Linked DNA regions of Lytechinus pictus. Each later gene encodes a partner of the first gene's protein in a complex. Links are inferred from orthologs where the notes say so. Each region holds a gene or a part of one and is shown on either strand. Other genes may lie near its edges.

The links. The genes of interacting proteins can lie anywhere in the genome.
Region 2: integrator complex subunit 1-like (region 1) and integrator complex subunit 6-A-like share a complex: the UniProt entries of both Homo sapiens proteins name them as parts of the integrator complex. The link is inferred for Lytechinus pictus from reciprocal best matches to the Homo sapiens genes INTS1 and INTS6.

Annotation. Positions count from the first base shown.
Region 1 is NC_087254.1:32,366,066-32,373,667, forward strand, and holds the start of integrator complex subunit 1-like, read right to left. Parts: upstream 3,283-7,602; 5' UTR 3,196-3,282; coding exon 3,150-3,195; intron 311-3,149; coding exon 68-310; intron 1-67. UniProt on the Homo sapiens protein: Component of the integrator complex, a multiprotein complex that terminates RNA polymerase II (Pol II) transcription in the promoter-proximal region of genes.
Region 2 is NC_087260.1:11,488,137-11,495,919, forward strand, and holds the start of integrator complex subunit 6-A-like, read right to left. Parts: upstream 3,148-7,783; 5' UTR 2,969-3,147; coding exon 2,858-2,968; intron 2,645-2,857; coding exon 2,567-2,644; intron 979-2,566; coding exon 829-978; intron 1-828. UniProt on the Homo sapiens protein: Component of the integrator complex, a multiprotein complex that terminates RNA polymerase II (Pol II) transcription in the promoter-proximal region of genes.

The DNA.
Region 1 (7,602 bases):
TTTATATAATAAGTGTCAAATTTGAGTCTGAGCTAGCAGACTATTAAGCTAACATTATAGTACCCACCTTCAATAGTCTTGATTCCTGGTTTATGGAGGACGGCACTGCTTGATGGTCTACTGATCTCAGGACCAGCCCTTCCAAGGGGTGTTAAGCCTACCAGCTTGGTCTTGGGGGGTATCACATGGCTCGGCAGGGGTGCGCTGGCCTCCCTCTTGCGGTCAGGATAGACTGAAGGGGTGGGCTTTTGATCCTGTTCAGGGCGGCCTTTACTCCCCAGGGGGATGATCTTGTCGGGCAACGGTAGGCCTAGTTACAAAGCAAAATGAACATTAAAAAAGCTTTCTTAACAAGCAACTTTCACGTTTGAGCAAGTTACACTCTAGAGTAGTGGGGTGGGGTGGCAGCACCAGCCAGAATGGGGAGGGGGTACTTATCAATTAAACACCACCATACTTACTCTATCCCTCTTCCTTCTTTTAATTCTTCTGCCTTCATTTACTTTCAGTTTCAATCATTCTTTATTTTACTTTCCTTTTTTAGTTTTTTTCCCTTCTTTTACTTTTTCTTGCATATATTTTTTTGTCTCTATTTTTCTTTCTTTCTTTTTTCCAGTTTTCTATCTCTCTGTCTTTATTTCTTTCTTTCATTTTTTCTGCCTTCTTTTAATTTTTTTTCCATTCTTTTTTTCCCTTAGATTCATTCACTTGTTTATTTATTTTTTCTCCTTTTCTTTCTTCATTCTTTTATTGGTTCTTAATAGTAAGTCAAGAAGGGAGAAATAAAGTTATTTTTATCCTTTTTTAATTCTTTTCATTTCTTCCTTCTTTCAATTCACTTGACTTGAATTTAAGCTCCAGCTGGAGCATAACTCAACTTGTGTTCCTTTCTCATAGAGAAATGATACACAATAAGAAAAGAGATCTGATACGATCGTTTTAAGAATACTTTGACGTTTGAGCTATGGAGAGTGGCAGTGCTCCACTGATAGCGATGCCACATCATTTAAAATATTTACTGTTTACATATGTTGTGACCATTCATTTTGAAGCTTGTGACCTGCTCTTCGCAATAAGACTACGTTTTTTCTTAATTTATGCAAATAAGGCAAATATCTAATTAAATATGCACGCATATCATTAAAAATGTCTCTTGCTCATGCGGAATGTGTATTTGCCTTTGTAATTTCACCCATGCTAGTGATTTTGAGGCAATTAACCACCAAAATGTCAATTGGCCCATTCTTTGATTAAACCAATATAAACTATTAAAAAAACAGTGTTTCATATAGTTAAATATGCAAATTTAAAATGCCAAAGATCCTATATGTAAATGAGGGTGTGATGCAATGATACGCATATTGTAAACCTACATGTATGTTAAAAATATTTCTATTCAAACTACATGTATGATGTAATTAACCACCAACAATATGTCAAGTGGCCCATTCCTTGATTAAAAACTAGTATAATATATAATTCAAACAAGATACATGTATTAAAATATGCAAATTTAAATGCATATGCAAATGAGATGACGCAATATACATGTAGTATACATATTGTATATTTTACAATGATGTTTGTTCTTGTGTATGGTCCATTTCATTACAAATAAATTGGATACAAGTATAATCAATGATATGATGTTCAATTGCACAAGAACAAATTCATAGAATATTATCTTCTACAAAAAATAGTAAATATGCAAATGAGATAAATATGTAATTAACAAGTCAAGAGCAGAGGTACTTGCCCAGCTGCATCCATTATTACCCTCAAAAAATTTATGCCAGGGGCCGGTAGGGTTGGACAAAGGTCAAGGTAGCTAAAAAAAAATAAGGTCATGATAGGGGGAGGGGCCAGTAATGTTGGACGACTGAAAGGTAGCTAGAAAAAAAAAATTAGGTCGGGATGGGGGGGCATGGACCGGTGAGGTTGGACGAGTAAAGGTAGCCAAAAAAATGGGGTCGGGGCAAGGGCCAGTAATGTTTGGGGTACGTGTAACATAGGGCCCCCCCCCCCCAAGAAAAAAAAATTGGGTCGGGTGAGTAATGGCAATTATGGGTGAGGGGGCGGGTTGTAATGCCACGCAGGGGCCTGGGGCAAATTATGGAAGGGGTAAACAAAGATCTATAGTAAATTGGGCAAAAAAAAGATGGGGTCTTGGGCCATAATCAGGATTTAAAAGGGCAACAAAGGTCCATCAATATCTGTTACATAATCACCAAAAACCAATCACCCCTACTCAACAAACTACAGTATCCGCATTGACCCTAAATTTTCCAGATTGAGGACAGTGCAAGCCCCAGTCTTTCCCGCTGGCGGTATTTCGCGGTTTACTAATTGGTAACAAGTTTGGCATCATTACAAAGCTTAGAATTCAAAGAATCTTATGATGCTGGGATTTTTTTGGTTTTTCATGTGTAGGGGTACGATAAAGGGGTCAAAACATTCATGTCATCATCAAATCACCATATCAACAAAATCTCAACATATCATTATCATGATATCAAAATGCAAAAAAAAAAAAATCGGATTTTTTAGACATAATTTCAGAGCAAAAGTACTAAGCTAACGATTCAATTTGCCACAAACACTGGTGTAAGTCAAAATCTTGTGTGTCACATGATTATGACAGGAGCAGTACTTTCCACTTCGGGCTTCTGCGATTCAAAATGGTCGCGCGCATCGTCCGATCAGGCAGGTTTCAATGACACATTTCAAGTGCAAAATATCTGGCGATTCTAACCTCAAATCAGAATGTAAAGTGAGAATTTCGTATTTTAATTTGATAATCTGCGGATATTTGTGGGTCAGAGTGTTACTGAATGAATATTTAAAGACTGGAAAAGAGTTTTCTGAGACCATGTTTTACACGGGGGCAGAGCATACCGATGCAAACGCGCGGCCGGTTTGGCATCGCTACAGCACTGATTCGCGCCGCACTTCTCGGTTTTACTTTAGATCTCTTGCCTCTTGGACGTGGACGGTACACCCGCTGCTAATGCAGTGCATCTTCATTGTTCCCGCTTTACCACGTCCACGCACGCGTTGCCCACGACGGTAGTTCAATAAATCAGGATATAAAATGACAAATAAATAACATAAAATAGACGATTTCTGTATAATTGTACGATATTTATTACCTCGCCGAATCGGGGGCTTCTTAGGGGGCAGTTTCCCCCTCTCCATATGTTAACAGATTCCTTTAAATTTGTGGAAAATCACAGAGTTTCACATGCTGTCTTCTCGAACAGAACTCTCAATTTACGAATGGGTACAGTATCCTCAAATGAAAAAGGTACATGGAAAAAATAACAACCCAGACTCGACTGGGCCAGGCCAGAGCCAGCTTTGGTATTGCAGACAAGAGTCGGAGATGCCCCGGGAGATGCACAATCGCCTGTATCGGAGAACGTATTTTTTAACGAATTTTTGAAGTGTTTAGTTAATGAATTTTGATGTTTCCTTGCCTTGTCCCACGGTGGGTTCAAAATTTGTAGTTTTCAAGCCATCTTGGATTGATTTTCATTTTTTTACCCAGGCCAGACTGTGGAAATATTGTAAATGAATTAAGTTTCGCTATGATTTTGAAAGTATAAATTGTTTTAAATAGTTTTCTTAACAGTCAGGTGATAGATTTCGATAAAAAGGGGAAAATTTGAGCCAAAATGTCCATGTTTTTGGTCAAAACTTTGTTATTTGTTTTATCATGAACATCAGCAACCGAATGGACAATCAGTTTTCGACAAACGAGATTCATATTGACACGCTTCATGACATAACAGTATATAAATTGCTTAGATGGAGGGCAAATGCGTCAGTAGACCCCTTATTACTCGTTATTGTGCTAAAATGAACCCCCAATAATTGATCAACCTTTTCGTTGTAGTCACACCAATGAAACCAACGAGATCGTTGGTATACAATTCAAGAACATAGCTTGGATCAGGGGCAGATCCAGCATTTTCCAAAAGGGGGGGGGGTCACATTTTCTCGAGGGAAAATTTGTTATACGCAAAAGAAAAGGGGGTTTTTAACCACTAAAACTTAATGATATTTCGTCGCCGAAAAATTTTTACAAGCAAAAAAAAAAAAAAAAAAAAAAAAAAAGGCCTTCACTTTCGAAGGGGGGGGGGCACACTTTTGTTTTAATGCCATTTTTAGATTAAAAAAAATAATTTTGCTTCTCAAAGTCCGCCAGTGGCTTGGATAAGTAAAGCAACTTTTTATAATTTTTATAAAACCTCTTGAAAAACTTGAAGGAGATATTGCTATATGCAGGTTACATGGAAATAAGTTTTGGTATCTCACAGCTGGCTCACAGCCTAACGTGACAGGAGCCGGGCCGGCCTGTCGAAGGTATCCTACCCCTACTTTGACTCTATTATAGTGATTTGGGGCAGTGACAAAACGGCATTTCTACTATGTACATCTCAAAACCACTTTAACTATCCTCCTAGAAAAGATAAAAGAAACATTGCTCTAAATTAAAGATTAAGGGCGTAGGCTGGAGTGCATTGGGTGGTCGAGCACTCTCCCTCTGAGGCAGAGGAGTTCCGACACTGGCAAGCAAAACAATTGTTTTACCCCTTCTGCTTTCAACAGCTGAATTTCCAACCTTTAGTCCCCCCCCCCCCCCCGGTTCCACCTCACTATGCTCAAACCAGCCTACGCCCTTGAAGATTCAGTGCTCGAATAACAGTTTTGGCAAATTAAAGCCTGTACCCCAACTGGGCTTCAATATTATTTACTGCGCACCCCTATCCGAATTTTGACTCTGTTGAAAAATATCGTATTTGGATAACCCCCAATTATGACAAAATGAATCTCCTATATTGTTTTTTGGGGCCAATACAGTTCTTTCTTATAATTCACGATACCATATCATCATGATTTTTAACCTTTCTTCTCTGTCGTGGATGTTTTTGAGCGTGGGTAATATAATAATAATGTCAGTTCAACGTATATACGCCACGAGTTAAGCGTGCGTCATTGTAAAGAAAATCATATTAAGCTATGTAAAGAGGATGATTTTTATTAACCGTGTATTAAGTAGATTGGAAAACATCCTACCATTGGTGCTTGGTTGTGTTGTGAAATATTTTCTTGGTGATCATGTGATAAACTAAATTTTTGATGTGGCTGTATATATAACTGAGCAATGTGCAAAATGTTGATACAACCGCCGTGACAATAACTTTAGATCGACACCGAGTGGGAGTTTATCAGTCACTTTTATTTGCCGCTCTGGGGTGTTGGTAAGAATGTTCATTACAACTAACTATTTTAACTATTAATTTACACAGTAACTTATGTTTGAATAACATTAGAGTTGGATGAAAATTATGTTGTGCTAAAATCCACAAACATTCACGATTTGAAATTATATTTAATACGATATTTGAAAAAGCCATCCTGTTACCTTTAAGGATGTAATTAAGCTTCGATTTTGTTTATTACTTTGTTGCATGGGCGTCAATCTATTCGCTTGTTTGGAGATAATATAGATGGCGATCGAGTCATAAAAAGATAAAAAGACGTTCATCACCAAATATACTCTTAAAAATGTTGGGCAAAACAAGGCCCAATTTTTAACCATCACTGGGCAACATACTGTCCACACAACTATTGGTTAAAATCTGTCCAAATTGGGTAATAAAAACTAACAATTGGGTAATAAATTGCTCAATTGGATAATAATTGCCCAGAATATATATATATATATTTACCAACATACATTACCCAACACAGTGGACAGTATATGTTGCCCACCATAGTGTACGCTATAATCATATTATGCACTATACTGCCCAAACCTTGAGCCACCTCCTGATGAAAAACACAAGCCTTTTTGTATATTCCACGGGCGTAAATCCCCGGGGGGGGGGGGGTGATGGGGATACAACCCCCACATTCCGGAGAGGGGGTGGCATGCAGTCACAGTCTTCCCCCTCCCCACTTTTCAAAACAGAAACGATTTTTTTTTTTTAAATCATCAAGTGATTAATACTACTGTTAATGTGTGGATTCATCTTTAAATGTGACCAAAGTGCTTATTTGCCCAGTTTTGCATTCTAAAAATGCCAATTTCTCGCGCGGTTGCTATGCTCCCGCGCTCAATCTAATCTTACAATATTTTGGCCATGACAAATCCATACGTTTAGCATATTGCAAATGTTATATCCCCTGCATCATGAGAGTATATATGCATATGAATTTTATGATTCAAATGATTTTTTGATATGGTTATAACTGATCATAAACCAATCAAAACATCCTTTGAATACACTGGCGTGAATGTTGGGGAAGTCATACCAGTCTAGCATATTTGGAAGCGGGGGATAATTTATACAAAAATACAGGCATACTCTATACTTAAGTTAAGTGTACGATGAGTTACTGCTGACTAACCAAATCAATGTCGTTTATGAAACACGGAGGCAAGTTAGGACACCGATTTTTAAAAAAAAAACCTTACAATTTCATCCGTTTATAGGAGACTTAAAATCACATTAATTCCATAACAATTTGATATATATTTCAAATATTAATTTCATTCCAAATTTTGAATGTTGCATCATCTTCCAATATAATCTTAAAGACTATTCAAAATCTTTCTTTTCAGCAATATGTTTCTTTTACTCTATGTTGTTACCACTTGCATATCTGAGGGGGAAGGGGGTGAGGGCTACGTGCAGTATCCATGCTGATGGAGTCCCCCCCCCCCCCCCCCCAAAAAAAAAAAAAAAAAAAAAAACGCCAAAAGAATAGTGAAAAGTGTACAATTAATTCCAAACCAGATGTTTTTTTTTCTTGCTCAATTTCGCTAAGTGCATGGCATCCTTGAAGTTTCTACAAAAAAGGTTCTCCTAATGACATTATATGACGCTAAAATTGCCATCAAATCGAACTAGCTAGTCACGAATTTTGTAAGGTAGAAAGGAGTTTTGAAATATTATTCGTGTGGTTGCTAACTTTTGTTCCAGGAGACGCACCTTAAAAGGCACTTCAATATACAGACAGTGTTATCGTAAAATTAAAACCCCTTCAATATTCAAAACCATTAGAAGCTTCAAGCATGCATGGTGCATGGATGTCGTCAAAGGAGACTAAAATATTAGTGTACACTGAAGCAGTATATCATCAAGATGACGGTCATAAAATTATTTGAGATTTGGTGGTGATGACAATGCTAATGGTGTAGTAGTAGTATAAGTGGTAGTAGTATTAGAAATATATAGTAGTAGTAATAGTAGTAATAATATAATAGTAGTAGTAGTAGTGGTAGTAGTAGTATAGTAGTAGTAGTAGTAGTAGTAGTAGTAGTAGTAGTAGTAGTAGTAGTAGTAGTATACAAGTACTAGGGTTAATGATGTGATGATGATGATGATTAAGATGACAGCAACAATGATAATAACCATATGCGGCTATCCCGCGAAGCCCCCCTCCCCACGAAATTAATATAGACGTACAAAACTCGCCAATCAAAATGCGAGCGCACAGCGCTGACAATCAGACCTGAAAAGGGATATTTTGAGAACTTTATGGAATACACGAAGAGAATAGATACTTGACAAATCAAATAATGCTAGTGCG
Region 2 (7,783 bases), on another chromosome or scaffold:
AGAGCTCTCAAAAATGATAACTTTGTCAAAACCGATCAACAATATTAAACCCACACAAGTATCTGATTGAGTGTAGAAGAAACTCAATGGCCCAAATTCACAAAGGTGGTTTTGAAAACCCATGGTTGAGTCCATGGTTTATGCATTATTTTACCGTGTATATTAAAAAATGTCAAATGCTGATGCGCGCTTTTGTCACAGTGCGCCAAATTGATGCCTGTTGCCGTGGTTATCCACGCTATTTTATTCATGAGTCCACTCTTCAAACAGTGGACTCATGAATAAAATAGTGTATCTAACAATGTTAACAGGCGTCAATTGGCGCACTGTGACAAAAGCGCGCATCAGCATCGGACATTTTTTTTAACACGCTAAATTAAGCGTAATTTATACAGGAAATCTGCATAAGCCATGGATTCAACCATGGGTTTTAAAAACCACCTTTTTGAATTCGGGCCAATGAGAGCTTCAAAGAATGAGAACACTAGGTCTGAAGTTTGGGATTCACTCAAGCATGAGATGTGCACATTGTGCAATTTAAGTGAAACTTCCAAGCAGTCCGAAGAATAAATGGTGTCAAAGAAAGCTAAGAAACTCTTGTATCTCGTCTTATTTACTTGTGCAAAAGGAGAATTACTCTTTCAGAGAGAAGTTAATTCTGAAATTTCAACATTTTGAAGAACAAATTGTTTTTACTGAGAACCTTTCCTGGCCACGTATTAATGGTTTGGGGGTGTGTGGCTGATCACAATTGTTTGAGAACCAAGGTTTCGTTACAAAAAATCCTGGCACTTGGCCACCAGGCAACTTTGAAAACAGCTTTAATACCTGGCCATAGTTGTCAATTCCAGAGTAGAGACGGTTGACATTCAGAAGGTCAAAGGTCATCTTGAGGGCATGACCCAAGTTTGTGAGACCGGTGGCCTGAAGGTTCTTCAGCTCAGTCATGAAGACTGCAGGATTCTCCTTCCAGCCAGCCTAAATTATCATAAAAATAACATTAAAAATCATTAGGTGTAAATAATTGCCCATGCCTGCATTGAAAGGGAAAGTTTAGCCTGACAAAAAGTTTATTGCAAAAATAGAAGAAAAGAATAAAAATAAAAAAAATATTGGCAAAGGTTTGAGAAAAATCCACCTAAGATTAATATTACAATTTTTTGGGATTTGGGACATCGTAGTATGCAAGGCTTTGCAAGCAGCTTCCCCATTTAAAATGTAATAAAAGAAAAATCTATGAAATGTCATTTTCTAAAAAAAAAAGAGAAAAAGAATGAAAATGTTTTTGGAATTTCTGTATATCACCAAATAAATTATTTCTGGGATAGCGTTGAAGCTGCTGAAATGGATTACTCTTCAAGGTTCACACCCAATCCTGATGGAATTAAAAAAAACAGTAATCATGAACCATTATTTAAAAAAAGGAGCAAAATTACGCATTTTATAGCAAATAACGTATTGGGCTCCTGCTTTTATGATTTCACAAATAAAAAACTTAAAAATTCTAATATTTTTCTTATAAATCTTCGGATTTCCCTCAAACCCTTTACCAGTATTTATTTTTTCTGCTTTTTTACAATAAACTTTCGTCAGGGTGAACTTCCCCTATTTCAGGATCTTAAATTCTATATTTAAAAAAAAATGTCTTTCCTTCATGGTTCGATCAGTGGTGAAGAAAACTATTATAGCTATTACTCCTAACATTAGGGCTTATTCCCACTTACCATATCGATGCGCCCCCACACAAATAAAATCACTTTCAATTTGAGAAAAAAATCACACAAAAAAACATAACTTTGTCATTTTTTTCACAATCCTTCACCATTATTTTTATCTCTTTCTTTTGCTCTCAAAAGTTATAAATAAAATCAACTTTTTGAAAAGAACATGCATACCATACGTACCCTATGGCTATGCCATGGCTCTAACTTCTAAGACTATGACTATGGTTGAATGTTGATTGTGTTGATAGATTGATTCTCAAATGTTTGGGATTTTTGTCACATTTGGCTACCCATACATGTAAATAAAACCACAACTAAAAGTGAAAAACTAACACAAATTTATTTATTGATCATATTAATATATATAGAAACTTTTAAACATTACCTCAAAACATTTCTGTTCAATTCTTCTTAATTTATTTTATAATTTCCTAAAAAGCGCCTTGAGCACTCTACAGAGTGGATTTGGCGCGATATAAGTCTAATTATTATTATTATTAAATATTATTATATGGCAGGTATACTCATTGAATCCACAAGTGTCTGCATGCATTGTCTCATTAATGTCTGCTAACTTCAGCTCAGCTCATGAATATTGATCGTTGTTGATCTTTTATGATCGATATCCTGACGTGACCCACAATTTTAGTCTGAAACAAGATGGACGTTTGTGTGGAGGAAGTACATCTGGTGCTAAGTTTCATGCAATATTTTGCGAATCTACCACCCAGAACGACATGAACCCAACATTATTTCGTGGGGGAAGTGTTGAAGAATCGCGATCTCGCAAATAAATGACTATAATTTATGACAAACGAGAAAAATCAAGGACCTTATAGTACCTTTATTGTAGCCGGGGACTCATCGCACGTCACCAGCATGTAGCGATCCGTGCGGCTGGCTTGGTCTCGAAGGCGAAGCTAACGTTACAACATGAGAAAAACAAAAGAATTTCACAGTATGAATGTTTAAAATGAACAACAATACATCTAAAAAAAATTAGTATGATCATTTAATAATATCAACAACAGCATCATATATCGTAAGCAACCCAATCTATCATTCTTTCGTAAAAAGAAAGTCACTGAACTTCATAAAAAAAAATCGATCACCCAAAATGCATTGCAGTTTACCTTCATGAATGTCTCGACAGCTCCCTTTGCAATATCCAAGAGTGATGTGCCCAAATGTGTCCTCTGATTCATCGAAGCACTGGTGTCTATTAGAAAAACTAGCACCGGCATCTTGTTCCTTATTAATTTATCTATCTCTCATGCCAAAACTGTGTAGAAATATCGCCTACGAGGCCCAAAATAAGAGATTTGATTCCCTTTCCTCCTTTTTGGCAGCTTCGCGAGAGCTGCCGATTTTAGCAGCAGCGAAAACCCATCGCGCAAAAAATAAATGTACGGAAAATTATCGCAGCGCAGCCCTAGTCACGTGACAACTTGGTGATTGGTCAACGTCATAGAGATGTATACTAGTAACGCTAGAGGGCGTACTTCGTCAAATCGCTGTGATTACGTGGAGACCGTCCGCCATTGCTCGATAGGTATTCGCAGCCTGCCATGAGCGTACAGTACCTATGGGGCATGTACACGGATGAGCACAGAACATGACAAATTGATGACATATGAGCACGAAAGCATATGGAAAAGCAAAATTGTAAATATTGCACTGGATTAAAGTTCAAATACAACAAAAATCTAGCAAAACTGAGGTCAAAAGGCCTATATAGGCCTATCTATAGCGCATAATATAGGCCGATACAGCTATAATACAGGCAAACGATTTAAAGTCCCAATTGTTTTTGCTTAGGTAAAATTTCGATACATTAATATGACTTCTATTTTCTAATGATTTGGAAGAGATGAATATCAAAAATAACATTTAGGCCTAGGTCCTGATAAATAAATTTAATGTGTTTTAATATGATTTGATGTACATTAACCTAAGAAAATTCATAGGCCATATCACAGTGTCTGATGCATCTGAGACGCTGTATCGAAAAAAAAACCACGATTGTATTTTTATAGTTCATAGTTTCACTATTATGCTGATTGCTGATAATTTATTTCTTCACTTTAGATAATTGTTATAATTCATTTTCCATATATATCTACACAATAGGGCCTATAATAACTCGATCCCTTTTCCCCATGTCTTACACGCTGATGTAAACCAACATCACAAAAACTCGCGAATCATAAAATGACTTTTTATTGATATTTGGAAATGATTTACGCATTGATTCAGTTAAAAATTGATGATTTAGATTTCCTTTGCTGGCAACCATCCCATCATATTTATAAATATGTATATAAAAGTATACTTTCTTACTTGCGATCAATGTATAGAAAAGTTTGTTGACAGCAAAATTTGCATATCAAATGCGCGCATGCAGTCGTACAATTTTGCAATGTACAGGAGGCCTAATGGGGGGTTGGATGTTTATGTACAGTGTTATTGCCTTGCAAACATTTTAAAACTTCGGAGAGTAAACAAATCACAATGCGCAAAACAATTTTACTTTGATTTTCTGGAAAGTATAGACTTGATTCTCCCCGGCTGAAAATACGCTGATCGGCAAACTGGCTGAAATATTTTGTTTATCGCCGTTGTTTCTGATCCTATATATAATGATTGGACCAATATCATGTGAACAAATCAAGGATAGAATAATAAGGAGAGGAAGAAGGGGGAGAAGGAGAGAAGAAAAGGGGCGGGATTATGATATATAATTTGTATTATACTATAAAGAATATTATTACTACTGCAAGAGTGTATAAAACTAATATCATGAAAGACATCAATGCAAACTTATCATAATTATGAAAACGGTTGCAAAATTGTGAGTACTAAAACCAAACATAATTATGAAACAATAATATTGCAAAAGTGACAATACTTGGAATAAGATATTAAAAATCCTAATTTAATCTCAAATTTGATACCTGCCTTGAAATTGTGTTAATTAACTGTGTCTGTGTCGCTTGAATAAATGAACTTTATGGCAAATATTTGTAAGCACTGGCACCGGCCTAACATATAAACAGATAAACACGCGTTTTGAATATCCAGTTTTGTTTTTCATTTTAAAAGTATAACTGAATTTGATTTTCTAGTTTTCTTCCTTTAATGTCATTTGCTGGCCTATGGACCTGAGTTTGGTTATTCGATCAGTTTTTTTTAAATAAGATTTCCATGGATGAACAAAATTATTATATTATGTTAATTACGGCGTCGCGGAATGATTTTGAAAGTGATGGGGTGCATAAAATCACAATCATTTATTATGTGTAATGTTCATTTTCATTTCAGGGAGGGGTCCGGTCGCGCCCCCTGTATTTTATTTTGATCAGTATGTTAAAGCGAATTTGCTTAGGTGTGTTTGTTATTTTAATTGCACACACGGCCCCTAAAAAGCGAATTAAAACAAATCTAACTTAAAGTGAAGGGAATTAAAACTGTCATTTTTGAAAAGTTTGAACAAATTAGGCTATATTCTCGACATTTTAAATCAATATTTTATTTTCGGGCCATATAGGCCTGCAGATTTGGGGGAATTTATTATGTTCCTATAAGAACAAAATCAGCACGTTCACCAAATAACACAAATTTCAACATTGATGGTGTAACGGGAGGCTCACCAAGAACAATAATGAGATGCCCTTTAATAGCGCATGTAGATCAAAACACTAACTTATACAGAATTATTGTACAACTTAATATATAAAAATGATAGGCCTATATTTCATACAAATTAAAGCAAGTTACATATCATGTAGGCCTATATAGAAATTACAAAATTATATCCAACATAAACATAGAATCAAAGGACGTAAATGTGGGAAGGATGGAAGGAGGACGATGCAGTTAAAGGTAGGGAAATCCAGAGAAGGGCTAATTCACTGCAGTCTTTTGAATTAATTGTCAATCTTTCTATTAATGTCCGCTGTATGTTTTTATTTTTATATGATTGTTTATATGATAGTATATCAACATTGTTATCTATTACAGGCCTATAAACGGACAGGTAAATGCAAATTATTTAGAATTTCATCCCGAGAAATCAGGTTTTTAAAATGCCAAATTAATAGCATAATCCCCATGTAATCACTCTAATAGTGTATTGAGATGCAATTTGTCATTCATATTTTCGATTTTTATGAGGTTGTGTTCTTTTCTTCAAGAAAAAGGCCGGAGACGGCACCCCTTTTCACAGCGTTACAACGCACGAGCTATGGGTACATCCGGGTACTTTTGCGAATCTATACCTATCGAGCAATGGCCGCCACGCTCCACACAATCACAGACGTTAAGTACGCGCGCCTATGGCGACTCCGCACTCTAGCGTAGTTAGTATACATCTCTATGGTCAACGTCAATCTCTCTAGTTTGCATATGATTACAATAAGAAAAGACGTTACTAAAAATACATGTACTGTACTACCGCAAGCGAAGAAAATAATAAACATCATTGAATTTGCAAGATAGCTTGCTTGACAAAAACAGAACAAGTATACTCGCTACACCCACAGCTGAGCTCGAATTAAGAAAGGGAAGGCCATTAATACTAGTATAGGGAAAGGGAAGGAGGTATGCTCCCTCAGTGCTCCCCTCACGAGGATCGGGGGGGGGGGGGGGGGGGGGGGTCGCGACCTGGCCATTAAAATGGCATATCAATTTTATATACGTAATTAGTATTTTTGTTATGGGACACGTGCACTAGATAACCGTAAGGCAACGTATATTCTTTTCAGGGGCATACAATATTCTTGTTTTGGCGTAAATTCTACCAATAAGCATGAGAAGGGCGGGCCATATATGCATTATAATTATAATACCTTAAATAGGGACCGATATTGCCTATGAATGAGAGAAGATTTAAAAAGGTGCATGGGGGCGTTTGCCCCCTCCCCAATTCAGGAGTGTTCCTCAGTATGTTGCCTCACCGGCCCAGACAATTAAAAAATTGAAAAAAAAATAATAATGCTGCCGCAATACTCAAGCTGTAAAGTGTTCCACTAATAAACAGCATTTTAATTCTAACAATTTTCATCCACCCGCTCTCTCGCCAAGTCAGGCTGTCGTCACTGTCGTTGCAGAGAGCTCGGAAAGTTGTATAATATTAATGTACAAACTGACCACTAGCGTACCTACGGGAAAAATCCTAGGTACGCCACTGAAACTGACCATGTAAAAGTCCAGTCGATGCACCCAAGAAAAATGTCGATTTGAATTAGTAGAGAAAAATCAAACAAGGCAGCGTAATAACGGAAATTTCATCGCCATCGGATGTCTAATAAGAAAGTTATGATATTCTCTGAAGTTTTGCTTATTTTTCAGAAAAAAATTACATGCATTATTCAGTGATATCTAAATCGATGATGTTCCCCACTCACTATTTCTTTGTCAGTTTTTATTGTTTTAAAGATAGATTTAAAGGGCCAACTTGACTGAACCACAAAATGTTAAAACAATGCTATACACTCATTTTCAGAGAGATATAAACCTTTGCTTCACACTGACAATCATGACGGGAGAAGATTAAAATATTACATATTTCATATATAATAAAATACTAAAGAAATAGTGAGTGGGTGATGTCATCCGCCCCCTCATTTGCATACTGACCATGCAGGATGTAATTATAACTGTTTGGATAAATTAAATAAAACTTTAAAATGTCATAACTTTCTTCCGTTTTAAAATGATATCGGAAATTTTCGGTGATTTGCTCGTTTGATTGTTATTTTCTCTGTTTATTCGAATCGAATTTATTGGGGTGGGCTTATCCTTTAACGATTAAAGTGAACAATTTGATTTGTAAACCGTTTTCGTCCGACGGTAATCAGGGCCTGGATTCAGGTAGAGAAAACTGACCCTTTATTTTTTAAAATCCCTCAGACGAGGTGAATGTTTCACGAGTTGAAAAATCAAAGATTGCCCTCTACGACAAAAGTTATTATAATAATAAAAGGTGAAAATTTCACTCGAGCTTCGTCCTCGAATTGCATGTTGAACGAGATAATGATCCGCTCATAAAGGCTTACATT